7 linked regions of the Rattus norvegicus genome follow. The protein of the gene in region 4 binds, or shares a complex with, the protein of the main gene of each other region. Links are inferred from orthologs where the notes say so. Each region holds a gene or a part of one and is shown on either strand. Other genes may lie near its edges. The genes, in order: Dpf3, Arid1a, Smarcc2, Smarcd3, Smarca4, Smarcc1 and Smarce1.

Region 1 (4,292 bases), on a different chromosome or scaffold from region 4:
AGGGAGCACTATCACACCTGGTTCTCTTTACAGTGCATCAAAAACAGCTTCCTAATCGTGAGACTCTGTAATGAGAAGAGAGGGTGGGGGAGAACATCACCCTACTAGGCAAACAAAGAGTTAAATATTTCCAGTCTGCACACACGGACTCACTCAGCTTTGCTGGGCTTATCTGTAACTCTAATAGTGAATGGAGTTGGAATCTGAAAGTTCCGAACTGCTTTGTGATTGTATTTTACTTTATTCATGGAGAGTCGTAAAAGGCGAGAGCAGGTGGAATTGTGAACTGCAATTCAGCATCTCTCGGTTTCCTTTTCACTCTCCAGCTCTCTGCTATTTGACCTGATTAAACAGCCAGGGGATAGCCAGACTTCTATATGCTAACGATAGAGTCTCTGGACTCTATGTGATTTCGTGCGTTTTCGCCCAGTCTGAGTCTCCCTGTGCTCCGTGGAAGCCTGAGTTCGCAGAAGTCTTAGTTTCTTCAGGGGTTCACCAGACTCTAAGCAGCCGAAGACTGGGGAAGCCTCCAGTCACGTCTGAACATTCACTTGCAGATTCTTTTCACCTCCTATCTTAGTCCAGAAAGGTGACGCCTGGATTCGCAGAGCCATTCCCGGAGGGGACTCTAGCAACACCTACAATTGTCAGGCTCTAACAATTTCTGCCTAGTTACTGGCTTCCCTAGCTGCGTTTCCTAAAGTTGCCTCAAATCTTCCCCAGCCTTCTGCCTAAAAGGTGCCAGGTCTCACTTCGTTCCCAAGCTGGTCGTGTCAGATCTTCGAAATCGTCGACAGTGGAGAACGGTGGTCGTAGGGGACCGTGCAGAGTGACCACCTGTGAATTACGTAACAAAAAACCATGGCTGAGACATTCCAGGGGGAAGGGAGTTGCTGCCCTGGACTCTCCCGTTCTCAGAAACCGACCGAGGAAGGTGGGTGAGATAAAGAAAACACTTCGGGAACAAGAAAATTGAACAGCGGCAGAACCCAGAGCATTTTTAGCAAAGAGTGGAGCACAGTAGTAATTTCTTGGAGGAAACTGCAGCCTTCCAACTTTTTGCACTTGTAACACAGTGGTGTACCCGAGACTCGGGGGTTAAAACCGTGATATACAAAGCCCAAAGCTAATGAATGGGATTCAGCATTTTTGTTGGCATTATGTAAATATTCTTGTCCAGGAGCGCAAACTCTGCGGTTATTTAGTAAAGTAGGGACTCAAACTAAGCGAGATTGCTCTCCCATGTATCTCCACTAGTCCCTATTTGAAAGGGCGCTACTAACACGGTACTGCCCCTTTAAGACCTGCTCGCTCTCGGGCTCTACAAAAGGGAGTGACCTCTGGGCTTTGACAGCTCCCCTAATAACTACCACCACGCAGGCTCCGCCCACTTGGCGACCAGCCGCGCCGATTGGCCGGCAGACCGGTATCCCGTGCTCTGATTGGCCTGCCGCTTCCCCTGAGCGAACCTTTAGAACTCTGAGACAGACAATATTCTGTTACATTGTAGCAAAATGGCGACTGTCATTCACAACCCCCTGAAAGCGTAAGTAAGACTAAAAAATGTACATATTCCGCGTGGTTTCAATATGAAAAAAAGGCGCCTTGCGGAGCGCAGCCGGCGCTCGGCTCTCGCAGACGCCTCCCGCTGCGCCCGGGCTCCTCTTTTCTTCCTGCTCTTACTTCTTCATCTTTTTTCCTCCCAGCGCGCAGAAATGTCAGGAGATGCAATTAACAAAAAGAAAATTGTTAAATTTGTGTTCTGCTTAATTGGCTGACCCGGACCGGGAGGGAGCACAGAGCGCCGGCGCCGGCTCCGGAGCTGCGGGGGTCGTGTGCAGCTCGGGTCTTCACGGTCCCCGGAGTCCCCTGCCTCTCCCGGCGCCGCGCGGGGCTGGCTGAGTCCGGCCGGAGCGCGGGGCAGGGGCCGCGTCCTGCGCTCTGCTATGCCCTGCGCTCCAAGCCGGAGCTTCCCCGGCCCCGCTGCTTGTCCACCGGGGCGGGCAGACCGACCGCAGCGGCTGCGGAGTTTTGCAGGGCGTTCGCTCTGCCTTCCGAGCTCTCCCAGGGAGTTTGTGTAAACCTTCCGGAGTTGGGAGGACGGCGCGCGGAGCGGCGGGTCCCGGGAGTCCTGGGGCCCAGGTGCTTGCCCCGGGCTTTTCCACTCCGGCAGCCGGGGATCAGGCGGGCGCTCCGGGCGGTCGCCGGTGTGTCTGTGTATTTGTAGGCTAACTGGCTCTAGTAAATTAACGATCTGGGTTAACTTGAGGTTGATATGGAGACGGGGAAACTGCAGGTCTTATTAATGGTGTGCTCGCCTGCTCTGGGTGAAAAGCTGAGGCGGCGGAGGCGGCGGTGTAGGGCTCTGGCGACAGCGAGGGGCAGGTGCCTCCCGGAGACTTTGAGCGGACAGAGGGGGGCGGGCTGCGCAAGGACTCGCGGGGGCCGGTTCCGATCGGAGCTGCCTGCCTGCCCGTCTTCCTTCCTTCCTTCCTTCCTTCCTTCCTTCCTTCCTTCCTTCCTTCCTTCCTTCCTTCCTTCCAGTCGGTGGACTGAATATGAAGCCGCCAAGTCTGCGGGTGATCGTGGAGCTGGGGGTGGCCTGGGAAAACTAGTGTGGCTCTCAAGGGGCGCTATTGGCAGGGATGTTGGCAGAGGGTGGATCCTTGGGAATCGCGGCGCGGCGTGGGCACCGGGTGGGTGCCGAGTGTACTAGGACTTCACGCCCTGATGAAAGCCTCTGGGAATCGGAGGGTGCGCGTGGGTGTTTAGTACCAATTCTTCCCGGTCTGTGTCAGTGGTCGATCTTGGCTTTTAACTGCGCGCTACAGCGTCCTAAGCCCTGGCTCCGGGAGTCGAAAACACCGTTCGCTTTGGGGAGCAGCAGGGCGGCGGCGAGTGTGTGTGTGTGTGTGTGTGTGTGTGTGTGTGTGTGTGTGTGTGTGTGTGATTCCTAGTGCCAAGAAACGCGTAGGGAGAACCCGCTGCGTTTGCACCAGCCAACAACCAGGAATAGGGCAGGGATGTCCCAGATCTCGGAGTTTCCACGAGATACTGCGGTAAAGACAGGGGCTGAGCTTGATGCGAGTTCCTGGCTCCGGTTCCCGCTCGGAAGCTCAGCTACTTTGCACTCGCGACAGCGTTTAACCTGAGAGGGGAAAAAAATGTTTTATGGCAGAATAAATGGGCGTAACTTCGCCGCGTCCTCGCCGACTCCCGCCACCACACCGCTGGTGCCGTGAGTTTCTCCAAAACCCACACAGCTGATTTGCAATTTCCTCATTTCCAGTCGAAATCACGTAGCAGAGCTGATGCTGCTTGGTAAACTCAGGTCTGAGAGATCTATTTGCTATGTGTACGGGGTTCCTCATTGGGAAAGCGGCATCCTTGGTGCCCGGGAGCGGGCTTACGCTCGGGCGCGCGCAGGAGCTCCACGCTCCAGGGTTCCCCAGATCTTTTCACTTTTTTTTTTTGACACAGAAGCGTGCGTGTATTGGAAATTGTGGGGAGAAGGAACAGAGAAGCTAGAAGGTGGTCAATCTCGGTTGATAGAATTAGTTCTGAATTATCCTTGTATCCCTTAATAATTGGAAACACTTGCCGTGGGATGCATTTGTAACTCCGTCTTGGCTCACGCACAGGGGCGCTCACCCACAACACCCCTGCCTGCCCTTTCCTCAGAGGAAGTCCAGTGGTCACTTATAATTAGCCATCCCCTTTTGTATCCCATCCTCTTCCCCTGAGGACTAAGGGTGTAAACAATAACCCCAATCAGCCAAGCTTTTTGCACCCTGGACATTTTCAAAACTCCGCACGCAGGAGCACACACACATCGTTACTGGGAGACCGAGGCCATCTGCTTTTATCATTATTATTATTATTTTAAAAACAACTTGTTTAATAAAACATCCTATACATTTCATTTGTTTTTAGAAGTTGCTGACCAGGAAACAAAACACACGTGAATAAATTATGCATGGGCTAAATTAGAACAAAGCAGAGCAACGCATCCAGCCGAAGGGATGGATGGGGGCGCAGGGAGGAGGAGGAAGAGTGAGGGGAATGGTTTGGAGAGCTTACGTGTTTATCCTTGTGTGCCCCTCCTGACAATGAGGGAGCTCCAAGCCACATTAGCATTTTCTCCGTGTGCAAGCGCTCTCTCTCGTCTTAAAAAGGCAACATCACGGACGCCCCCTACAGAAACTGGTCACAGAAAGATTTCCTCTTGAGCCTGGGGATAAGTAGCAGTAGTAACGGTGTTGGGAAGAAGCCAGCTCAGGTTTCTTTCATGC
Region 2 (4,300 bases), on a different chromosome or scaffold from region 4:
ACAAAACCATCTTCTCCCCCTACAGATCTCACATTTGCCTTTTAATTTAAAAAAAAAAAAGCCAGTAAAATAATTTCAGTTCTGTAGCTGAACACAGTGTCAAAAACTACTCGAGACAAATGTATCTTCAGAGCTATCAAAGAACTCATTTATACCATCAGGAAAGTCACAAAACGAAAACAAACAGCAAACCCATTGTAGAGGAAAAACTCAGCTACTGTTCCAGCAACACAGAATCTATTTCAGACTGCATAAAACATAACAAGCAAAATAAATCCAAGGTGCAAGCAAAATGCCATCGCCTCCTCTTTTGTTTCAGGCACAATGTAACAAGGGCAGCCTGTCTGGGACTCTGCTCCTGCTGATACAGTATTGCTGCTTAAACCTCCCTCCTCAAGGTCACAGCCAATTTCAGCTCTGGAATAAAAGGCGGATAGTGGTGGCATCGATGGTTTGGGTTATCACTGGCAGAAAAGCAGAGTGTAAAAGTTTATGAGCTCATCAGGATTGTTGTACCATTACATCAGAGGCAATTATAAATGGCCAAGAGCAGAAGATGGGGAGCCAATCAGATCACAGATAGGATGTCAACCTAAGACCAACTGTCTCCTGGCTTTGACAGAAGGATTTTACCTCCATAATTCAAATCCCAAACCAAAGCAATCTGCACTTACTACTCCAATCACTCAGCTGTTTACCAGCACTTCCAGAGAGAAGCCCAGGCCACTGGGCCGGCGGAGACTAAGGAAAGAGGTGGCCCGGGCGGCCCAGAGCGAACCACAGTCGGCCTCAAGCTGCCCCCAAGCAGGCCCCAGCTCTCCCCCGAGGTCCCCCGAGCCCTAGGGGCCACTCTTTAAAAGCATATATTGGGGAACTGCCTAGAGGAAGGCAAGGGGGACAGAGGAACGGCAGGTGAGCAAGAAAATGTTGCTTCTTTCTCCCGGGTTCCTGACACTGCCTACACCCCTAACCTGAACCCCCAGCACCCCCTCACTCGGGCCTGGCCCTTCCAGGCACACTTTGCTCTGCACCCCCCTGGAGACCCCCAGAGTTCGAAAGGACCAGCGGAGGAGGAGAAACCGGACAGACACCTCTGGAAAAGCCCCACACAAAGGCTGATCGAGGGAAGGAGAGGAAGGCAGACAGGCAGCCATTTTAAGAGAGAAGAGCCAGACAATGGCAGCTCCCCGGCAGTGGGGGCCCAAGCCTGAGGGGAGCCCACGGCCGGGGCCTGCTCCCCACAGCCGCCACCCACCCCCCTGCCCCGCTCGCCCCAGCCCCCTCCCCACTCAGCTGTGTACCTGAGGGGTCCGGGCGAGCGGCTGCCCCCCGCCGCCGCTGCTCCCGGGGCTCATGGGCGCGTGGTGGCTCCTTTGTTGGGCCCCTCCCGAGGCGGCCGCTGCCGCCGCCGCCGCAGCAGCAGCCCCCCAGCACTGCGAGGCCATGTCCGCCGGGCCCTTGCCCGCGCCCCCGTCCTGGGGCCCGCCGCCGTAGTCGCCCCCGGGGTAGCCCTGGTAGCCCCGGGCCGAGCTGGGCGACGTGAGCAGTTGGTTGAGGGTGGGGGTGGCGGTGGGCTGGGGAGTTCCCCCGCCGGCCGCTGAGGGGCCGCCTCCCCCCATGGCCCCGAAGCGCTGCGGAGCGAAGGACGAAGACGACGAGGAGGCAGAGGCGCTGGAGGAGGGAGGCGGCTTGGAGCCCGCGGCCGCCGCGCCGGAGCCCGGAGTGCCACCTCTCGGGGAGCTCAGCGCGTAGGCCTGGGGAGGCGGGGGGTAGGCGCTGCGGTTGGGGTAGTAGGAGTTGTACTGGTGGTTGGGGAAGCCGTGGTCGTGCGAGTTCTGCTGGGGCCCGGCGTAGGGCTCCAGGCCCCCGCCACCGCCGCTCTGCAGCGCTGCCAGGCCAGGGCTTTGTTGTCCGCCATGTTGTTGGTGGAAGACGGCGGCCGCCGCGGCGGCGACGGCAGACGGGCTCCGGCCGTAGGGTTGCCCGAAGCCGTAGGCTGGGGGCGGCAGGGCGGCCGCGGCTGAGTGAGGAGGCGCCCCCACCCCGTCGCTGCTGCCGCCGCCGCCGCCGGGCGGCTCCGTGAGGTTATTGTTCAGGGCGGGCCTAGGGCCCGCGTTCCCGTTCGAGTTCTTCAGGTCCGGCTCCGCGCCGGGCCCGCCGCCGCTGCCGGCTCCGCCGCCGCCGCCACCCCCATTGCTCTCGGCCCCGTCCTGCAGCTCCTTTCCCAGCGGCTGCGGCGGCCCCACAGCGGGGCCCTCGCTTTCCTGCCCGGCGGCTGCCTTCATTTCCCCGCGCTCGGCCGCTGCCGCCGCCGCCTCGCCCCCCGCCTCCTCCCGCTGTTGCTGCTCGGCTTTCTTCAGCTCCGAGGGCGGCGGCGGCGGGTTGCCCAGGCTGCTGGCGGCGGCGGGGGCGACCTGCGCGGCCATGATCCCCGCTGTCTCGTCCGCGGAGAGACCCGGCCCTGTCTTCGTCTTCTCCCCCCTCCCACCCCGCCCCGGGGCCGAGTCCCCCGGGCTGCCCTCCCCACCCGCCCGGGCGGGCCTCGCGGGGCTCCGCTGCTGCGCTGCGCTCGCTCCTCTCCCCCCCGCCCCGCCGGCTCAGGCTCCGGGCTGGCGGCGGAGGAGGAGGAGGAGGCGGCGGCGGCAGCCGAGGCGCCGGCGGCTCAGCTGCTCCCGGCTCTGTCGGCTCGGGACCCGGCTCTCCCGGCTCATTCCCCCCAAGCCCTTGCCTGGGAATGAGGGGGGCGGTGGAGGCTCCGCTCCCCAGGGCCTGGCCCCGCTGTGACTCTCCGCTTTCTGCTGCCGGAGAAAGGAGGAGGGAGGGAGGGAGGGAGGCGAGGGGGAGGGGGCGGGAAAGGAGGGAGGGAGCGGGGGGGAGGGGGGACCCGGGACGGGCGGGCTGGAGGGCGCGCGGCGGCGGACGGGGCGCCGGGAGGCAGAGTAGGAGCGCTGCTCCGGCGGGCGCCCTGCCTCGCCTCCCCGGCCGCGGCTCGGGCCGAGGCTGCTGCGCGGCGGCGGCAGGCGAGCGAACGAGCGGGCGGGCGGGCGGGCGGGCGGGCGGCGGGACTGAGCAGCTAGAGCGCCCCACTCTCCTCCGAGTCCCCCTCACTCCGACACGAGGCTCAGCACTGCCATTTTACCCAGCGCCGTCGCGGCCGCCTGAAAAACCCGGAGTGGAGCGCGGAGCGGGCGCAGGCCGTGGAATGGACTCGCTCCCTTCCCCTCACAAAGGAGGAGGGGAGAGAACGAGCCGCGGCGGCGGCAAGCCCTCAGCCTCTTTCGCTCGGCAGCGCCGCCGCCGAAGGCTTCGGGGAAAACCCGGCCCGGAGCCCGCGCCTCCGGAGCCTGCGCCGCCTCTCTCGCGGCGTTCCCATCCTGGCCTGTCCCCTCCTGGCCGATCTGAAGGGAGCGGGCCGCGTGAACTTTACCCGCGCCTGCAAAATTGGCCTGAGCCCGAAACCGCGGCCGCAGCGGCCGGGACCTGACCCCCTGGCACAGGGCCTGGTCTCTTGGCTGCGACTTAGCACCTCCGCAGCACTTTTCTTCTTCAAAGCCTTTTGCAGACCTGCTCTTGAGACCCAGCTGAGTGAGCCCTGCTTTTTGCCCCCTTTGGCTAGCCCCAAAGGAGGACTGACCATTGTTCAAACTATCGGTTCTCCATGCCCTGCCCTCATTAGCCCTCCCTGACAAGGCCTTGGGGGCATGAGGTCTGGATTATCCCCCATTTTACCAACAGACAGAAGAGAGAGAGGACTGCCCAGGTCACTTAAAGTCAGAGGGCAGAAGAGTGTAGCTATAAAAAGTGGAGTCGCCAAAGCTGCATCTTGTCTACTTAGCCTGAGAAAAGGAGGAAAGGAGAAAAGAGAGGCACTTACGTTGTGAACAAATCCAACAACAGGATCAGTGTCAGGAGGTTTGAAATCGAACGTGGTCATCCCACCACTTCTCTTAAAATGGTGGCTACTGATGCTTTGGGGGCTTAAGACAGTCCTCCAGGCAAACCAAGCTCCATTAGCACTTCCTAAGGGAACCTAGCTCACAATGGCCAGTAGCCCCAATCTCCAAAAGTACCTTGAAGATGTAAACAAGCCCACAGAAAAGGCTCCAGGGACTGGAAGAACCTCAGTGTTCAAAAACCACTGCAAAAGAGGGATGCAGAAAATGGAAACCATTTCCTCTTTAAAGAGAGAAAAAGCAGAGCCTAATAGGTCACACAAAACGGATGCCCCTCAGATCTGCTGTCTCTCCTAAGGTGTAAGACTCCTTGAAGTTTACCAGAGACCCTAAGGCCAGGTTTATCT
Region 3 (3,500 bases), on a different chromosome or scaffold from region 4:
CATAATTTGTCTTGAAATATATTTTATTGATGAGAAGTATAATCAAACACCTATCAGGGTGGAGATGTAGCTCAGTCAGTAAAGTATTTTTTGCAGAGGACTGAAGTTCTGATCAATCCTCAGAACCCATGTAAGAAGCCAGGCACAGTGGCCCAGACTGGCCCAAACTGGTAATCCCAATGCTGGGGAAGCAGGGAAGAAGAGACCCCTCAGGGCTCCTGGCCAGCCAGACTAGCCTAACCTTCAAGTCCCAGGTCTCAGAACACAAGGCAGAGGGTTGGCACGATGGCACAGTGCATACAAGTACTCGCTGCCAATCCCTGGAACCCACATAGTGGAAGGAGAAACCAACTCCCACAAGTTGTCCATGACCTCCACATGTACACTGTGGCGAGCACACACACACACACACACACACACACATACACACCAATATACAACTAAATGTTAAAAACACAAGGTAGAGGCTGGCCAACACATACAAATACGTACAAAAACAGATTTGGAGGTTGGGGTACAGCATTTGCTAGTACACAGGAGTTCCTAGGTTCAATTCTCAGCACAGAAAGACAAAGTTGGTGGACAACTGTAGGTCCATAGGAGACATGGATATAAAGCAAGAGTCCTTTGGGGGGCTGGGCACAGCAGGAATGGGAGAGGGTAGGGACTGGCCTGGGAGCTCGGCCTGGCTCATACCTGTTTTGGGGAGTGTCACCTCTTCCACATTTGGGACTGGAGAGGGCTCATCCATGTCTTTTGTCAGGTCTTCTTGCTCCTCCTCTCTGTGCCCTCGCTTTGACTTGGTGTAAGGTGTGGAGGGTCTGGGAAGGGAAAGAGTTATCCTTGGAAATTAGAGGCATTTATAAGAAGGAAAAAGAGAAAACAGTATATGCAGAGTAAAGGGGGTAGTGCAGAAGACTTTCTGTTGGGTGACTAAGCTTTCTTTCAGTTTACTGATAACCAGGACTAAAACCATCAAGCAGGTACATGAGGGTCCCCTCACCCTCCTCTCAGACAACCAGCCAGGGGCCAGTGACTTCAAAAACCATTGTCTTTCCTTGGACAGCATGTGTGGGCACAGGAGAGGTAGCATACCCTTTCTTAGCATTTTTCTTCTTAGCTTCTGGGGTTGGCGAAGGAGAGGGAGAGCGTTTCCTCTTCTTATAGTTCCCCCCCTTCTTGTCCCGTCTGTCTGCATCCGGGCTGTTTACCTGCACAACGGGGAGTGGGATGAACGACAGTTGGCCCTTCAGTTCCCAGTGAGGCATGTCTCAGGTGTAAGCTCAGGCTTCTGACAAGAAGGAGCTCACCTCATCTGTCAGCGTCTTGGCTGAGATCTTCTTTCTGCGGGAGACTGGGCTTTTGTCGTCACTAACTTCATAGTCTTCCTCATTCATCCACTCATTGAACGTGTCAGTGTCGAGGATCCACTTTGCATGGACCTGAAGCACAGGACAGACAGCCCACATCAGAGTTACTAGAAGCCACATTTCTGTCTAGAAACTCTTACACAGAGTTCCTGCTCCCCCAACACAGAGGTCTGGTCCTGGGTGTTCTAGCAGTGGAGGGTACCAGGAAAGCTCACCTTCCTAGGTTTCTCAGGAGTGGGAGCGTCCTCCACAGATGCTTCAATTTCACTGGCTGGGATCCACGTGTCATAGCTGCCAGAAGAGATTCAGCAGGAGGTGGGGACGGAGGTGAAATGCAGGAACAAAGCGCAGCCTTGCATGCCTCTCAGTGCAGACATGGGCCCTGGTCTTTCTCCTACTAGCAGCCTCCACCACTGACTCACATACCCAGCCTTGCCTTTCCATTTACAAAAAACATTCAACTGTTCATCTGTCCAATTAAATCAGGATTCTTTTTGCCACAAGGCAATGAGAGCATATCATAAAATATTTCAAGCTGGTAGATGTGGTGACTTATGTCTACAATCTCTACATTCAGGAGGTTGGGAAAATTGATGCAAGTTCAAGGCTAGCCTCAACTATAGAGAGAATTTAAGGCTGGCCTGGTCAGTGTAGTGGGAGCTTGTCTCATAATAAAAGTGTAAAAGAGGGGTAGAGGTGGCTCAGTGGTAGAGTGCTTGGCGAGCTCAGACAGGCTCTTGAACCCATGAAACTATCCAGGCTTGGTGACGTACGACTGTGACCCCAGCACTCTCAAGGCTGAAGCAGGGTCTTGTGTCCGACTGAAGCAGCCTCACAGACAGTGAGACCATCTTAAAAACCAAACTAGCAAACCACTCAACCAACAAATCAAATACAGGAGGACAAAAAGGCTTTCCAAAAAGTATGAAAACAATCTAGCATAGACTATGGGAAGCTGAAGCAGGATCCCTTAAGTCTAAGGTCAGAGTGTGTCACGCGGTGAGACCTGGGCATCGGGGTAAGCTATAACCAACCATGCATTCAAAAGTAATTACAACTACATTACACTTAACACTTATTTCCCTCCCTGAAAGCCATGCTATGTCTCACAAAGAGCTTATAGATCCTAGGTTCCTGTTTCTACCTTCTGGGGAGCTGGGGCTAGAGCTGAAGCTGGACCTGTAGGTGTGAACCTCCTTTTCTCACTTAAATTTGCCTATAAAGTAACTGTATTCTGTCACTTTAAAGGTTGCATAATAACCCAGGCTAATTGTATACATTTGTGGAAACATTTTCCTACTACTATACTGTTTTTTTTTTTTGTTTTGTTTTTTGCTTTTTTTTTTGTTCTTTTTTTCGGAGCTGGGGACCGAACCCAGGGCCTTGCGCTTCCTAGGCAAGCGCTCTACCACTGAGCTAAATCCCCAACCACTACTATACTGTTTTAACTTTTGTTTTAAGATACAACTTCACATAGCTTAGGCTGGCCCTAACACACACACACACACACACACACACACACACACACACACACCCCACACGAAAAAGAAGGCCAGGTGTGGAAGAGCAATCCTCTAATCTCAGCATTCAGGAGGAAGAACCTGGTGCATCTTTGTGAGTTTAAAGTCAGTTTGGTCTATAGACCAAGTCAGGCTAGCCACAGATCTACATGAGACCCTGTCTTAAGTATGTATGTATGTATGTGTGTATACATGCATGCATGTATGCATGCATTGCATGCATAATAAAGAGGAACATGAAACTGAACTGGAGAATGACCAGTCCGTGGGCATAAGGACCTGTATTCTGCTCCCAGAACCTACATAAAGTTGCTGGGCATGGGCTGAGATGTCTCAGCAGTTACGAGCGACTGCTGCTCTGGCAGAGCCTGGGGTCAGTTCCCAGCACCTACGTCATGACTCACAATTACCTGTAACGCTTGTTCAAGAGGATCTGTAGGCACCCTCTTCTGACCTCTGCAGACACCAGGCCCTTATGCGGTACTACATATACATACATGTGGGCACTCACACATAAACTAACAAAAAAAGCAACCAAGAAACAAACTAACAACGCTGGGCTCTGCTTGCAGCTCCAGGGCTTCAGGCGCCCCAATTCTCTATGGCCATC
Region 4 (3,500 bases):
CCAGGAAGAGGAGGAAGCCCTGGAGGGGCTGGAGGTGATGGATGTTTTCCTCCGGTTCTCAGGGCTCCACCTCTTTCGAGCCGTAGAGCCAGGGCTGGTACAGAAGTTCTCCCTGAGGGACTGCAGCCCCCGGCTCAGTGAGGAACTGTACCACCGTTGTCGCCTCAGCAACTTGGAGGGGCTGGGTGCCCGTACCCAGCTAGCTATGGCTCTGTTTGAGCAGGAGCAGGCCAACAGCACTTAGCTTCTCCACCCCTGGGTCTGCCATAGCCCCAGGAAGGGCAAGGCAAGGCAATGGACAGATGGAGGGCTTGCCGCTGTATTTTTTTAAAAATAAGAAATGTTATTAAAAGTATCTTCTGCCAAACTGTTTTTAGGTCTAGGGAGAGGGCTAAGAAGAATCTGTAGGAGGGTCATGGAGAGTTTGTCTGCCAGGTTCCACTGCCTTCCCCTCTCTTCTTCCCTCCCATCCCAATCCACAATGACCACAAGGCTGCTGTCTGATGAGTGACCTTTAATCCAGCCCTCCCCAACCCCAGCACAGCACGGGAGAGGGAGTCCAGAGCCCAGGGTCCATGCTGGGCAGCGAGGCTGGTCCACAGTGATGCGTGTTCACAGGCTCCTAGGTGTTGCGCACAACTAGTGACTGCTCCAGCTCCTGCCTGCGCTGCTGGATCTTTAGAGGAAGCGTGAGCAGGGGCAGGGTTACAATGACCCTGGTGAGTGACCAGGGGCACCCCCTCCTGGCACCCCTTCCCTGGAAGAGTCTGGGAGCCAGGAGACTACTGCATGGGGGTGTAGGGTGGTGGACAGGCGTTGGGCATAGGCAGCAGCAAAGACTGTTGCCAGGTGAGAGGCAAGGCCTCTCTTAGGACTGAAGGAGAAGGAAGCCTCATGTTCCAGGGCCTCCATTACCTTACAGTAGAAGTAGCGGCTGACAGCTTCCTGGGACCAGGGCTGGTGGTAGAACTCAGCCCGGCGCTCTTCCTCGGGGTTACCGGCCACATCTGTCATCACCTGGGAGGGAGCACGGGGCCTGCGGTGAGTTCCAAGTGCCTCACCTGCCCGAGTTGCATGCTCCTCTTCCCCTCCCTGTGTGCTTGTCTTCACATCAGTGACCCCTGAGCCCCGTCTTCACCTTGAGATCACGGCTCTGGGAGCGGAGCAGGTCTTGGACGTAGCCTTTGGGGTCTCTGGAGAAACTTAGCATGAAGTCCCTCTGGATCTTGAGCTGATTTATGGACTCAATGGTCTCATGGATCTACAGGTAGAAAGACAATGATCTCCCCTGGCCCTCCCCTGATGTGGGGGAGGAATGCAAGAGGAAGGAGGAGGCAGGGGGGACTAGCTTCTCTTGTGAAGGGCAGTTTCCCAGAGCCCTTGCTCTCTCTGAGTTCAGTGAGGGGAGCGGGGTGGGCAGAGCTGAACTTGGAGTGAAGTCAGCTTCTCGATAGCAGGGAGGGGCTGTGTGTGCCTCGTGTCCCAGGGCCATGCTGTGGTCTGAGTGCTTTGTCCTCTCTCTCGGTTTAACATCCCACTCTATCTCTGGGTTCAGGCCGCACCTTACTGTCCAGAGCACTGATCTCCTGCTGGTTGGCGGTGGACAGGAGAAAGCTGCTCATCTGCCCCTTCAGTGGTTCCTCCACCTCCACATCAATGTCATAGCACGCGGTCTTCTTCTGGTCTGATGGGTCCACGCTGCCAGAGAAGCCCAGCCTTTGATGTCCATGGTATACCCCCACGGAAGCCCAGGGCTGGGGAGGGGACACAGGGAGGGGAGCAGGGAGGGGAGCAGAGAGCTCCCTCTGTGGGGAAGGCTGGGCCACCTCACCTGATGACATGGTTGATCACAATGGGGTCAGGAGGAAGCAGCAGGCCTGTGAGACGCTGGGGAATCTCAGAAAACTTCAGGCGGGGACAGTCAAAAATCTGAAGCAGGAGAGTTGAGAGGGAGATCATTCGTGTGTGTGTGTGTGTGTGTGTGTGTGTGTGTGTGTGTGTGTGTGTAAAGACAGTAGCTAATAATAGTCCTTCCATTCTGGAAAGACCACAAGAAGCTGAGGGCAAGTCAGAATTCTGGGCGCTGATGGCTGTGGGCTGGGCTGGAGGTAGAGAAGCAGGATAATTAGGGGGCCAGTGTGGGGTCCTAAGTCAGCCTGCTTGAGCGTTTGTCCCTTCTGCCACATCCTGTGAGAAGTTACCTAGCACCTTGGGTCTTAGTGCCTTCACTTCCAGAATAGGGATATTACCAACCCCATCTCATGGGTGGTTATGAGAACCGGGTGAATCTGCAGAGCAGGAAGTGTCTGAAGTGGTACATGGTAAATGCTCAATAAACACCAGCTACTCTTTCTCCTCAGACTCCTCTACTGTGCTTATTTTAAAACATATTAATAGCAATGCTCTACTCTGCTAGACCTGTCGGGTCAGCTTTCAGCAATGTCGTTTTTCCTAGCTGCCAAACACATGTGATGGCACACCTCCCACCACCCCTCATTTCAGAAGCAGACCAAGAGGCAGAAGGGATAGCAAAGTAAGTGACCCCAAGTCTAGACCCAAGACTGGCGGCACCTCAGAGATCCCAGCTCCAAGTACCAAGAAGGTTACATTGCAGGATGCTGTGCCCTCCCCTCCCCTAGTAGGGCCCCACATTTGCTTCCCTTGGGGTGCAGCTGAATAGATCATCCAGGAAGAGCCTGGACAAGACCCTGTTCTTGGCTCCAAGGCCATGGCCCTAACCATTCCTGTTATTCAGGAACTCAGCAAAAGGAGATAGCTACCTTAGGGAGGTGCTTCTGCTAGGATACCATCCCTGATCCCCAGATCCTGAGGCTAAGGACATGTTACCTGCTGGAAATACTTGTCTCCATTGATGTATTCCTTGTCATGGGAGTCCTGTAGCCTGTTGGTCTTCACGTACTGCCACAGTGCCTGGACAATGGCTGAGCGGCTCTGCGTATGCAACCCCAGCAGCCGGGCCAAGCGGGGGTCCAGTTTGAACTGGGGAGGCTGGGAAAAGGTTACCAGGAAAATGAGATTGAGGGGAGAAATAGAGAATGGGGCGTGGAGGTTAGGGTCCTTGGCAGCATGCCCCTAGAGAAAGTGAGTAGGAAGGAGAGTAGGGTCTGTGTGTGGCATGCAGGCACGGAGTAAAACCAACCTGATAGTCCAGCATCAGGAGCAGGGTACAGCGCACACTCAAGTCCCCTGGTCTCTTCACTTGGAACCCATCTGTCTCCTGGGTTGTGGGTGTCCGGTGCCACTGTCCAGGGGGAAGAGCTAGGTCACCCACAGACTCATCTGGGTTGGTAGAGCCTAGGGCTTTAGGATGGTCCTCAATCCAAATCTGCAGCTGCTCCAGGGCTGATGGGAAGGTTGTGATTCACGGGCAGCGGCAATCTGTCTTACCTCAACAAGGTGGTTGTCTGGGCCATAAAGGTCTTTGTCCAACTCAATGACCAAACTCTTGAAGAAGGAAGAAAACTTCCTCTTCTGCTTAC
Region 5 (3,500 bases), on a different chromosome or scaffold from region 4:
TCAGGAGCCCCTTATCCTGAGTAAGCTTGCCTGTAGTCACAGCTATAACCAGCCATCACCTTGAGTCCCATAGTAGACACATCCCCTGCAGGAGACTGCAGGATTCCTACCCATAGGACAAGGAAGATAAGAAGTACCCTGTGGACCCCAGCTGAACCCCAGAGAATTCCACCGAAAAATCTGAGGTTTCTAGGGTGAAAAACTGTAGCCTAGGGCTGGAGAGATGGCTCAGTGGTTAAGAGCATGGACTGCTCTTCCAGAGGTCCTGAGTTCAAATTCTAGCAACCACATGGGGACTTACAACAACCATCTTTAATGAGATCCGATGCCCTCTTCTGGTGTGTCTGAAGTGACGAATATATGATAAATAAATAAATCTTAAAATAACAAAACAAAAAACCCAAAACGAACGAACAAACAAACAAAAAAACAAAACAAAACAAAAAACTGTAGCCTAACTTCTGGAGTCCTGCATAGTTCAGGTTCATGACAAGAAGTAGAGCATGTCACCAATAGAAAAGAAACTTACCTTCAGGCCATGGCTTGGGAGGCCCTCCAGGAGGCTGACCAGGCATCCCGGGGGGCACACCTGAGGGTCCTGGAGGAGGCATGTTGGGCCCTCCCATACCTATATTAAAGGAAAGAAAGCACCATAAATACAACTATGTTCAAAGCTGCTGGCCTACTCTCATATCAGCTCAGGGAACATACCCACCCACCACAATAATTATTGGCCAGAGTGATGAATAAATGGCATTTAGGTAGACATAACCGCCCACCCCCCACCCATCACAGCAGTCCTAGGTACCACTAGCTGGGAGCCAGGGTTGCCTGCTATTATCATACACATTAAGCATTCTCCCCACTCCAGCGGCAGGGATATAGGTCTTACCATGGGGTCTACTGTAATTCGGAGGGGCTGGTCCTGGACCTGGGCCAGGGCCAGGGCCAGGGCCGGGTCCAGGTCCTGTGGCAGACACTGAAGGTGGAGGTAGTGTTGGCATCTGCTGCTGCATTCCAGGCATCGGCCGCTTGCCTTGAACGGCCATCTGCAGGTGGTCGGGCAATGGCTGGCCCCTGGCCAACATCTTATAGGCCATTATCTGAGCTCTGAGTTGATGCAGCTGGTTCTGGTTAAATGGGGTTGGGCCTCTGTTTTGCTGCCCCAAGGCCTGGGGGTCAGAACCATCTAGTGGGGCCCCTCCTGGCCCAGAGGACATCTGAGGGCCTGAAGATGGGCCGCTGGCCGGGACAGGACTGGAGGCATGTTCAGAGCCACCTAAGGGTGAGGGGTAACCTGCAGGGAAAGACTAGTTCAGTGGTCACTCAGCAGCATGCATCTATAACAGCTAAATCACATCACATTACCTGGCATCCCTGGAGAGGTAACTAGGCAACATCATTCTCCTGAGTCAAACAAGAAGCACCCAGAGGTAGGTGGCTGACTGAGAGCCTCAGCCCAGCAGCTAATGTGGTCATGACACAAGCTAATGAGCTTGGATACATGCTTCAGTGGGGTACAGTTAATCAATTCAAAAGGTAAAAACTGCAAACCAGGCCCCATCAAGCCTGCCCTCTGTCCAGGTCAACTTCTCCATTGTCATTCCTATGAATCCTAGGACCCAGTACCTTACTTACTGCCCCTAGTGACGGGGGGACTCAACAAGTCATCTACAGTATCAATCATCCCCATGTAGAAAAGCCATCTTGCCTAAAGCAGTGGCCTAAGGCACCACTGGAGTTGCTAGCCCCAGCTCCATCATGCTAATCCCTGACCTCAAACAACATGCTAACCAATCATTTCTGTCCCACCTGTTCAGTATTCGAGACTGCTCCAAGGCAAGAGGGCTATATAGAGAACTAGCCACACGTCACCAGGGAGGCCAACCCATAGCTCAGTTGTACTAGCTGTCCTTGAAATCTCCACTAAAGAAAGCAGATTCTGAGCTCCAGGCACATGAACATGAAACAAAAACCAGCCCAAACTGTACCTTGAGAATGCTGGTCCATGGGACTAGGCGGAGGTCCCATACCTGTGTGGGCCCCTGATCGCATGCCCATCCCTTTCATTTGGTTGTATCGTGGGTCATCAGGCATGCCCTTCTCGTGCATGGACTCCATAGGCTGTAAGATGTACAAGGAGACAGGTCAGCCAAGGACAAGAGGCAGCTGCGCAAAGCTCAAGAGGCAAAGCTGAGAAAGAAGACCACAGAGGTCCACCCAAGGGGGCCAGAGGGCTAGCTCTGAGGCACACTCACCTTCTGGGTGTCAGGACAGACACAAAACCAAGCTACTGGAAAAGGTAACTACTTAGGCAGTGGAGGCATGGAGCTGTCTTTCAAGCCAGTGAGAACCACAAAGAAAGATGTCCTGGTCTCTTGCACTTTGTGCCAAGGAGACTTGCTGCAAACCTAGGGCTGAAGCCCTCACCCTTGGAGACTATAAATCAAGCAAACTACAAAAAGGTCTGCTGCATATTTAGACTGGACTACAGTGAGACTCCCCACTGTCCTCAAGGCCTCAGCAGCTGCCAGCTTAGGAAGGAAGGATGCAGAACTGTCCCACCACTGAGACAGCACAATGTTAGCAGGATGCTGCCATATGGCACCTGTGGGAGTAGGCATGCCTCCCAGGGAAACGGCTAGCGCGGCCACTGGGAGAGATTAATACCTAAGACCCTTCTGTCAGCTAGGACTGGTTATCGAGCACTGTGCTCAGCAAAAACTCACAGGCCAGCATGTGATGAAGGAGAGTGATACCAAAGCCACACTTAGTATAGCTGTAACAAAGGAAGCTGAGACGGGGCATGAGGGCAGCTTCCTGTGGGGCCACTACTCTGTGCAGGCTCCCCAAGATTGTTTATGCTGAGCAACAGGGTTGCCTACAGCGTAGAAGAGGTTCGGTGAGGTGTTACCCACCAGGACTCCAGGACATAGATTTCTAGATACATGGTAGGTGTCCAATGGGCAGTAGCATGTGTGAGCAATGCTAGGATAAGGAGCACAGGGAAAAGAGATGTAGTTTGTGGCACATGGAGGACCCTGTAAACCAGACAGTGGGCTCATACATGTGACCCAGAGCTTCCTTTATAGGGAGAAAGGAGCAAGATAAGTGCTCTAAGATGACAGAATAGTTCGGGAACTGGGAAGCCAGAGATGGAGGTGTCTCAGAAGCAGAGTACAAGGACAACCCAGGCAGAGGAATGAGAGAGGCGTGTGAAGGAGCGCCTTCCTCATTTGTGGATAGGGAACACAACCTAAACTAGGAAGCCTACAGGGGTAGGAAGCAAACACAGGAGCAACCCTGCAGGGAAGAGGAGCAACTGACAGCGCCACTATGGTAAACCCTCCTGCTGTCTTCAACTACATCTTCTTACACCCCAGCCTCTGTGGGCCCAGACAAATGCTGACATTACTCCCAGCCAGTCCTAAGAGGAAGACCAAGGCCTCAGGACAGGAGAGCTGCTTGGCAGACTGAATACTCTCCATGTATGTAGGCCA
Region 6 (3,500 bases), on a different chromosome or scaffold from region 4:
CACACACACACACACACACACACTCACACACCCATACATACTATACCTATGGCACACACACACTCACACACCCATTCATACTATACCTATGGCACGCACACACTCACACACACATACTCTCTCTCTCTCACACACACACACCCATACATACTACACCTATGGCACACACACTCACACACATACACCCATACATACTACACCTATGGCACACACACTCACACTCACACCCATACATACTGAGGAACTGATACTGTTTGGTTATCAGGCACTGTTTTTAGCTCTTGCTTTCTCTGTACCACGTCCCCCTTGTCCACCTCACAAGAATGTGAGAAAAATATATATAATAAAATGTAGAGGCACATTATATTGTTTTGATTGCTTGTGTGTAAGCAAAGCCCGTGATTTTGCACACTGACAGGAATATAAGCATCTCTAAAGCGAATGCTGTACTCATTAGTGACGCACCAAGCTTCTCCGGCTCATCGGGCCCGGTGCCTGCAATGCAGCTGCTCTCCAGGCCGTAGGTAGGATCCACCTTCCCAGAGGCTCTTGCAGCTTCCTGTACTTTCTTGACATGCGCTTCCACCAATTCCAGGGGTACTTCTTCTCGGACACGAGAAAACTCCTCTGAGTCAAGATCACAAAGACAATATCTTAATTTTGCATAGATATTTGATCCTAGTGTGACAAAGTAACATCAGTTTATACAGTGAGCACACTAGGGAAAATATAAAATGAATCAATCCAATCACTTCCCTAGGTTATTATCCAAAACATAATAGTGCCTTCTTTATTATACTTTGAAAAGTTGTTTAAAAATCTATTAGAAACAAGTAAAATTTCAGTCCTGATTTCACCACTCTGCTGGCAAGACTGGTAACTATAAAAACAGCAAGGATCAAACAACCTTAAAAATGTAAATCCTACAATATAAAAGATGCCTGGGTGAAATTAAGTTATTGAAAATAAATTAAGTAGCTTCCATGCTATATCTCTACCAATATCCTAATGTCATAAAACACTTACTTTCCTTTATACACGAGTGTGTATGTACATGTATGTTGGTTGAGACAAGATCCACAATAGTCCACGCTGAACTTTAAACTCCTGATTCTTTTGTCTCTTCCTCTAAAAAGCTGCAATTTCACAGGTTATGCCAAATTATCTAGCTGTTCTTCTAAATCCACAAATATTCTATGGGCCAGCAACATGGCTCAGCCAGAATGGACATTTGTGGCCAGGCTGACAATTCAATTCATGAGGCACACGTAGTAGGACAAAGCTCACCCTTGCACTGCTAATCCTGACCTTCAGAGATATATCATGGTAAGTGATCTTCCCTCTCTCTCTTTCCCTCTCTCCCTCCCTCCATCCCTCTCCCCCTCCCCTCCCTCTCTCACACACACAAAATAGATTTTTAAAAGTGAAAGAAAAACAAAGTCCTTACAAATTATTTTCTACATTTTGATGAAGCACATTATCTTTAGTTTTTGTTGTGTGACTTATAAGAGAGAAATGTGTATTAACACAGCTGATATTCTTAAAAGCATTTGTATGTATGTGTGGGGGTGAGCTTGTGCCTGGGTTTAAGTCTGCTGGTTTAATCCAGTTGACATCAACAAAGATTCTATCAGTTCTCCCTCCACCTTATCTCTGAGTTACTATCCCTGTCAGGATGACTTGTGAGACCATCTATTCTGTCTCCCAGTATAGATGCTATAAGCATATACTAGAGCTTCTAGCTTTTACACAGGCTTTGGAGATCTGACTCAGGCCCTCATGCTTGCACAGCATACACTTTATATAACTGAGGCAAATGTTAAGTTCATGGCTAATCATATTTGAATATAAAGTCAGACTTTAGTGCTGGAGAGGTAGCTTTCACAGGAAGTACATACCCAAAGCTGCTTTGGCTGCAGCTGATGCTACTCGAGGGTCAACCACGGATGCTAAAAAGGCAACAGTACTCATCACGGGGTTTCCTGACTGGCTGAAAGGGACAGGCTGGTAAGCTAGTGGCCCAAGAGAAGCATCTGAATTTTCAAGGTATGGGTCCTCAATGGGAAGCCTCAAAAAGTGGAGGATGCATTCATCCTGAGTACGGCTTCCAACATGTTCCGAGACTTTATTCCAATCATCCTTGTACATCTCCAGAGCCTAAGTGAACACAGAAACAAAAGGGTGATAGCATCAAATAACAAGGAAGGAAAATAGAAGGGAAGAAAAATGAAGCCAGTGCCCTTTTTCCCCCTTCTGTGTGACAGGATCTCACTATGTGATACAGGCTGGTCTTCAACTTCTACTAACCCTGGTTCACAGGCTCAAGAGTGCTAGGCATGCAAACCCAACCTTGCTAAGATTCTGCAGACAGAATTCTAAAAAAATTTGGGTAGTGATCTAGTAGTTATGGTGGCGCATGCCCTTCAACCCCAACTGTCTGTAAACTGAGACAAGATTTGAAGATAACAGAGTGGACAAGATCCTATTTCAAACTAGTAATATAAATAATTATTTCTACATTAAGGTAAAAGGTAATCTGGCAGTGACCCTTATAATAAGTTGTCAATCAGGCAACAAAACAATAATGAAATACCTGAACATTACAATATTCGTTTAAACTGGATCACTACTCTTTACATGAAAACTTTCAAAGAATCTACTCTGAGATGGTGGCTGAAGATTACCACGACAATATCAGATGGGCTAAAAGCGTAAGAGAAAGCAAGAACAATGCTTATATTCCTCTCATAGCAATGAATAACTTTTTTAAAAAAGATTTATTTTATTTTTGAGTTCACTGTAGGTGTCAGACACACAAGAGGAGGACATCAGATCTCATTACAGATGGTTGTGAGCCACCATGTGGTTGCTGGGAATTGAACTCAGGACCTCTGGAAGAGCAGTCAGTGTTCTTAACCACTGAGCCATCTCTCCAGCCCGCAATGAACAATTTTAAAGTGGAAAAATATTTGTAACATTATTAAAATGAAATAAAAATTTGAGTAAATTATGTGTAAGACCAACATGATACAAAGAAAATCAACGTGAGAGAATGAAAAGATGGGCAGAAAGACAGACAGAAAGAAAGGGAGGAAAGAAAGAGACACAAACAATAAAAAGGGGCAAGTGAGAAGGCTGAGAGACGAAGTCACTGTTTAGTAACCCACAAGATGTTAGAAGAGAACAGACTCCAATGTTGCCCTGCCTTCCACATACACATCATCATCTACCCATACAAACACACTAAGGTCTACAAGACAATGGATTTTTAATAAAAATTGAGGCTAGCAGTAAAAGATTGACAGGACAGAATAGAATGAGTCATAAAATTTATTAGAGTTTTGGTAAAAAGTCGTAAAAACCTTCAAAACAAAAACGAAAACCTGAATCTATATGATTAAATACATAAAATAAATAGTAAGAAAATATAACAAATGAAATAACTTGTCAACCTTTTAGGGCTTGCTACTGTTACTTCTCTCTGGTGGCATGATTTCCTG
Region 7 (4,300 bases), on a different chromosome or scaffold from region 4:
CTTTCCTACCATTCCTTAATCCCACAGTTGCTAAAGCAGGGACGTAACAAGGCTGGAGTTACTGGGCAGACAGAGGAAGAAGACACTGGATCCCTGACGTAACTGTGTGGATCCTACATTCATCTTCTCTATGCTTTTTGTGTTTTAAAAAAAAAAAAAAAAACATTTTCAGATACATTTCCTTATGCTATTCACTCATCTGGAAAACTCTCCTTTAGCCTTTCCTTTCAATACACTTTTATTTCATTAATTTCATCTCACCAGAATGAAAATATTGGACAATGGAAGAACTGAACAATATTATCATTTATTCCTGGCTCTGCAGACTTCTAAAGATACCTCACGAGGATAAGGGCCAAGAGGTAGTCCCAGAATTCAACCAGTTTCTCTAGATGCTAACACTGTCCTTAGATAACCACAGACGGTCTGCTCATTTTTTCCTCCACCATGACGTGACCCACACTAGCCAACTTCTTATGGTCCGCCAAATACTTGTAATTTGTAAAAAAAAAAAAAAAAAAAAAAAAAAAAAAAGCCCTGGAATAGTCCAGAAAGGTGGCTACACACACACTTACTGAGCACCTAATTACAAGTCTAGCCCTTCGAAATCATTGGTAATTATGAAATTGTCCAGTCCAGATGCCTGAAATTTGGTTTTCAAGACTCTCCAAGATTGCAGATGGCCCAATCCCATCAAGAGGGTTTCAACAGGCCCTGGAAAAGTTCTAGGAGGGCATCACAAAGAAACATTGAGCTGACTATTTAAAGACAAGCGAGGGTGAGCTGAATTAGCCCTCCTGGTAAGAGATGTGAATTGTCACAGGTATGCAAGCTGGAAAGAGTGAGCTGACATATGAGGACCCTAGGCTCTGAAACCTGTCGCCATCATTCAACCTCTAGAAGCATCTGGAAAAACTACAAAACTCCCGTGTTGCTTTTCGCTTAGGTGGAGGCAGGGAGCCCTGCCGAGCGCCAGCAAGGACCAAAACGCGGGGATCCGGGTCCTCCCCGCCTACATTCTCCATCCTCCATCCACACGTCCATCAGCGGAGTACAGAGGATCAGAGCGAAGGGGAACGCCAGGGTTTGGGGTGTGCGGGAGCTGCGACCCGCCCTCTCCCGGGAGAGGCTCCAGCGAGCCTTCCCCCAGCGCTTGCCTCACGCAGCGGAACCCACCGCCTCAGTGAAGCCGGGGTACGCAGTCTGCGCAGTTCCTGCCGCCGGGCCGCGAACCAGGGCCCGCAACGCGGCCCAACCTTCTCCGCCCTCCTCGCCGTGACGAATCGGCGCCCGGCTGGGACAGGATCCAAATTGAAAGACTTCTGAGGGATCCGAGGAGCCTGAAAAAAAAAATCTTTGGCGCACTAAACCTTGCCGCGTCTTCACTGGAAGGGCTGTTCGTCGGAGGAGGGCCGGCCGCAGCCCGCAGAAAATTCCCCGGAGCGTGTGGAAAGTGCGAGCGCGGAAGCTCCGGCGCGAGGGGCGGGGCGAGCGCGGGACAAAGGGAAGCGAAGCCGGAGCTGCGGGCGCCTTCTCGGCCCGCGGGTGAGTGTTTCCCAGTGGGCCCGACCCGGTCGGGGAGGGTGGTGAGCTGTGGTGTTTCGGCTTGGCGGGACCCCGAGTTCCCGCGGGGTGCTGGGGTTCGGCCTCGGCTGCGAGGCGGGAGCTAGAGCCGGTGCGGCCTCTGAGAGGCCTAGCGGCGGTGGGGGAGCCCCATCCGGGACAGCTTCTCGGAGGCGCCACTAGTCCCTTTATGCTGGACTCCGGACGCTGGCCGAGCACCCATGCACAACCCTCTGCGGGGGAGTTTCCAGAAAAGCTCACCCTCCGCCCGCCACAAACTCAAAGGAAAGGATCTCGGGAAGCCCAATGGGCAAGGCTAGCGGGGGTCCTCACCCAGGAAGGTGGTTCCCATTTTGGTGGGTGGGGGGTGGGGCTCAAGTAGCGGCCTAAAGACACCCGGGGTGGCTTGGATGAAGTCTGAGACGGTGTGGGTTGGGTTTAAACCCACCTCTGGCATTTCTGGGCCTATGGCCTTAGACACTTAATCGCCCCGGGACTGTTTTTTTCCTTTGTAAAATGGGGACAGGCCATACGTATCTGGTAGGGTCGTTGTGACTAGTGAACAAGACTGTTAAAAGCCTGACCCGTAAGGTAATTAATTCAACAAATACTGAGTTGCATGCCAGGCACTATGGTTAGATCCACTCTCTACTAGAGTTTGTAGCCCAGGAGAGCAATCATTTGTAAGTATTAGCAGTGAAGTGTAAGGTGCCAGGGACCCTGTCACAGTTTCTGTCGGGGCTCCCCACAGCAAGGCCTACTGGGTGTTGATGGAAGTAAAAGAGATGGGTTGAAAAAAAATTAGCAATTAACACATCAAAAACTCTTAACCCTGATGGTTTGAGGCACTTCCTTTAAATGAAAACTAGAAGAAAGAAAAAAATGTATTCACCATCTTTCTAAAAATAAATTTTCATCTCTTTATGCATTACCATTTGTGGTCTGTGTTGAGAAAGGAGCAAGCTCAGATAATGTCCGTGTTTTGAGCTGGTAATACTAGGACCCAATTTATGAAGAATCGAGCTACGTTTGAGTAATAGGTTAGACCATCCCTCCTCTCTTGCAAGACAGAACCCAGCCACATTCACATGTTGTGTGAGGGAAAATGCCACTGATCTTTAGTAAGCCCTGTAGGAACGCAGAGACAAGGCAATTAGTTCTGTCCAGATAATTCACCAGAGAGGACCTGAGGTAATTTCTGAAATGGACAGTAAAGGAACAACAGGTGTCCTGTCAGTAACCTGAGAAAATTGTTCCAGCTCTTAGGGAACTATTTACCAACAAAAGAGAATGTAAAGTTTGTTAGCATGAGTTATCTTTCTTTCACACTGCCTCCAGGAATAAGACGTTGCTCTGTTTCGATAAAAGAGGCCCCCTCGATAGGGCAGAGCTTCTGATCAGGGGTTATTGGTCAGTATCTGGTAGGCCTTGTTGGGGTCACCCTGATAATACATCACATTCTATTGTCATTATTTTTTTTTTATCAGTCTTAAGTAATCGTTCGCATGGCATCAGCAAAATGTTTTCCATACAAGACGTGGCTCTCAATGTCATAAGCAAAAACCTAAAAAAAATCCATCTCTGATAGAACTCTAAATTTCCCAGTAATTCATTTTCATCACTTAATTCTGATCAATCAAATGAATATAAGGACTAGTTAAAATATGCAAAAAGGCTTGATTACTAGCAATTAACAGTGAAGTAATTTTGCTCAGAAATACCAAACTACCCTATTCTTTAGGAAAACATTCTCTTATGCTTGCTGAGTTTTGATTCTCTTTTTTTTTCTTTTTTTTCTTTTTTTTTATTTTAGTGTCTCAGATTCATTCTTAAGGAACTGAGAACTTAATCTTCCAAAATGTCAAGTAAGTTTCAATTTTTATATTTATCAATCTGTATTAATACGAGACTAATGCCCTAGCAAATGGGAATTCCAAAATACTCTCATTTTTTTTTCTTCAAAGCAGGACCATTGGTAGTTTTGTTGCATAGTATTATATCTCAGTTGTTTACAAGAAGTTATTTATTTTCTTTCAAACAGAAAGACCATCTTATGCCCCACCTCCCACCCCAGCTCCTGCAACAGTAAGTTTTAATTTTCTTGTTAATGTAATAGCCAAGTCTGGCCTTGATACAAAAACCCAGATGTCTTCCACTGACAGTCACTCAGTCTTCACAGCCACAGCATAGAAAATTCAGCTAAAAATCAGCACTTCCTACTAAATAAAATAACTCCTTTCATCCTTACCTTGAACCAAACCCAACATTTAAAATTACATGCTATGAACTCCCCACCTCCTGTGCTCTCTTTTCTCCTAGCAGGAAATCAGTGAGACACTCCTTTCTAGCCTTTCCCCTGGTAAAGGGCCTCGCAGCTGACAGTGAGTCAGTGCTCATCCTGCTGTTGGTTATTCCTTTATTTGTTGTTTTTAAACCTAACCTTCAACCGGTTACATTTTTCTCTCACTGTAAGTAAGGGCTGGGGTAGCTCAGTGACAGCACTCACCTAGCATTCGCAAGGCCCTAGGTTGGAACCCCAGCAGCACAAATTTTTTAATTAAACTTTCTTATCTGTGTATAAAATTTTCACATTAAATAAAGTGTCTTGTTCTAAGGATAACTACACTCATAAATCTTATTTTCAAGCTGCTCAAGTAAGGGTTTCATTACCCATGGGTCAGATCTCGTTTCTAAATTTTGTTCAGGTTGGTTTGCCAACTGCTCTGCTTAAAGGTGT

What was found.
Region 1: Smarcd3 (region 4) and Dpf3 share a complex: the UniProt entries of both Homo sapiens proteins name them as parts of the BAF complex. The link is inferred for Rattus norvegicus from reciprocal best matches to the Homo sapiens genes SMARCD3 and DPF3.
Region 2: Smarcd3 (region 4) and Arid1a share a complex: the UniProt entries of both Homo sapiens proteins name them as parts of the neuron-specific chromatin remodeling complex. The link is inferred for Rattus norvegicus from reciprocal best matches to the Homo sapiens genes SMARCD3 and ARID1A.
Region 3: Smarcd3 (region 4) and Smarcc2 share a complex: the UniProt entries of both Homo sapiens proteins name them as parts of the BAF complex. The link is inferred for Rattus norvegicus from reciprocal best matches to the Homo sapiens genes SMARCD3 and SMARCC2.
Region 5: Smarcd3 (region 4) and Smarca4 share a complex: the UniProt entries of both Homo sapiens proteins name them as parts of the BAF complex. The link is inferred for Rattus norvegicus from reciprocal best matches to the Homo sapiens genes SMARCD3 and SMARCA4.
Region 6: Smarcd3 (region 4) and Smarcc1 share a complex: the UniProt entries of both Homo sapiens proteins name them as parts of the BAF complex. The link is inferred for Rattus norvegicus from reciprocal best matches to the Homo sapiens genes SMARCD3 and SMARCC1.
Region 7: Smarcd3 (region 4) and Smarce1 share a complex: the UniProt entries of both Homo sapiens proteins name them as parts of the BAF complex. The link is inferred for Rattus norvegicus from reciprocal best matches to the Homo sapiens genes SMARCD3 and SMARCE1.

The regions. Positions count from the first base shown.
Region 1 is NC_086024.1:108,853,826-108,858,117, reverse strand, and holds the start of Dpf3 (zinc finger protein DPF3), read left to right. Parts: upstream 1-1,492; 5' UTR 1,493-1,514; coding exon 1,515-1,546; intron 1,547-4,292. UniProt on the Homo sapiens protein: Belongs to the neuron-specific chromatin remodeling complex (nBAF complex).
Region 2 is NC_086023.1:151,262,587-151,266,886, forward strand, and holds the start of Arid1a (AT-rich interactive domain-containing protein 1A), read right to left. Parts: upstream 2,801-4,300; 5' UTR 2,427-2,800; coding exon 1,302-2,426; intron 1-1,301. UniProt on the Homo sapiens protein: Involved in transcriptional activation and repression of select genes by chromatin remodeling (alteration of DNA-nucleosome topology).
Region 3 is NC_086025.1:1,473,003-1,476,502, reverse strand, and holds part of Smarcc2 (SWI/SNF related, matrix associated, actin dependent regulator of chromatin, subfamily c, member 2), read right to left. Parts: intron 1,662-3,500; coding exon 1,586-1,661; intron 1,443-1,585; coding exon 1,311-1,442; intron 1,212-1,310; coding exon 1,096-1,211; intron 822-1,095; coding exon 697-821; intron 1-696. UniProt on the Homo sapiens protein: Involved in transcriptional activation and repression of select genes by chromatin remodeling (alteration of DNA-nucleosome topology).
Region 4 is NC_086022.1:11,469,776-11,473,275, reverse strand, and holds the end of Smarcd3 (SWI/SNF-related matrix-associated actin-dependent regulator of chromatin subfamily D member 3), read right to left. Parts: coding exon 3,409-3,500; intron 3,263-3,408; coding exon 3,161-3,262; intron 3,010-3,160; coding exon 2,848-3,009; intron 2,360-2,847; exon of another isoform or gene 1,930-2,359; coding exon 1,832-1,929; exon of another isoform or gene 1,699-1,831; coding exon 1,563-1,698; exon of another isoform or gene 1,262-1,562; coding exon 1,139-1,261; exon of another isoform or gene 1,018-1,138; coding exon 916-1,017; exon of another isoform or gene 677-915; coding exon 623-676; 3' UTR 495-622; downstream 1-494. Other genes in the region: Chpf2 (chondroitin sulfate glucuronyltransferase precursor), read left to right, coding at 1-244. UniProt on the Homo sapiens protein: Involved in transcriptional activation and repression of select genes by chromatin remodeling (alteration of DNA-nucleosome topology).
Region 5 is NC_086026.1:28,460,819-28,464,318, reverse strand, and holds part of Smarca4 (transcription activator BRG1), read right to left. Parts: intron 2,125-3,500; coding exon 1,992-2,124; intron 1,298-1,991; coding exon 893-1,297; intron 629-892; coding exon 530-628; intron 1-529. UniProt on the Homo sapiens protein: ATPase involved in transcriptional activation and repression of select genes by chromatin remodeling (alteration of DNA-nucleosome topology).
Region 6 is NC_086026.1:119,048,556-119,052,055, reverse strand, and holds part of Smarcc1 (SWI/SNF complex subunit SMARCC1), read right to left. Parts: intron 2,158-3,500; coding exon 1,899-2,157; intron 628-1,898; coding exon 466-627; intron 1-465. UniProt on the Homo sapiens protein: Involved in transcriptional activation and repression of select genes by chromatin remodeling (alteration of DNA-nucleosome topology).
Region 7 is NC_086028.1:84,673,374-84,677,673, reverse strand, and holds the start of Smarce1 (SWI/SNF-related matrix-associated actin-dependent regulator of chromatin subfamily E member 1), read left to right. Parts: upstream 1-1,500; 5' UTR 1,501-1,545; intron 1,546-3,376; 5' UTR 3,377-3,421; coding exon 3,422-3,428; intron 3,429-3,604; coding exon 3,605-3,648; intron 3,649-4,300. UniProt on the Homo sapiens protein: Involved in transcriptional activation and repression of select genes by chromatin remodeling (alteration of DNA-nucleosome topology).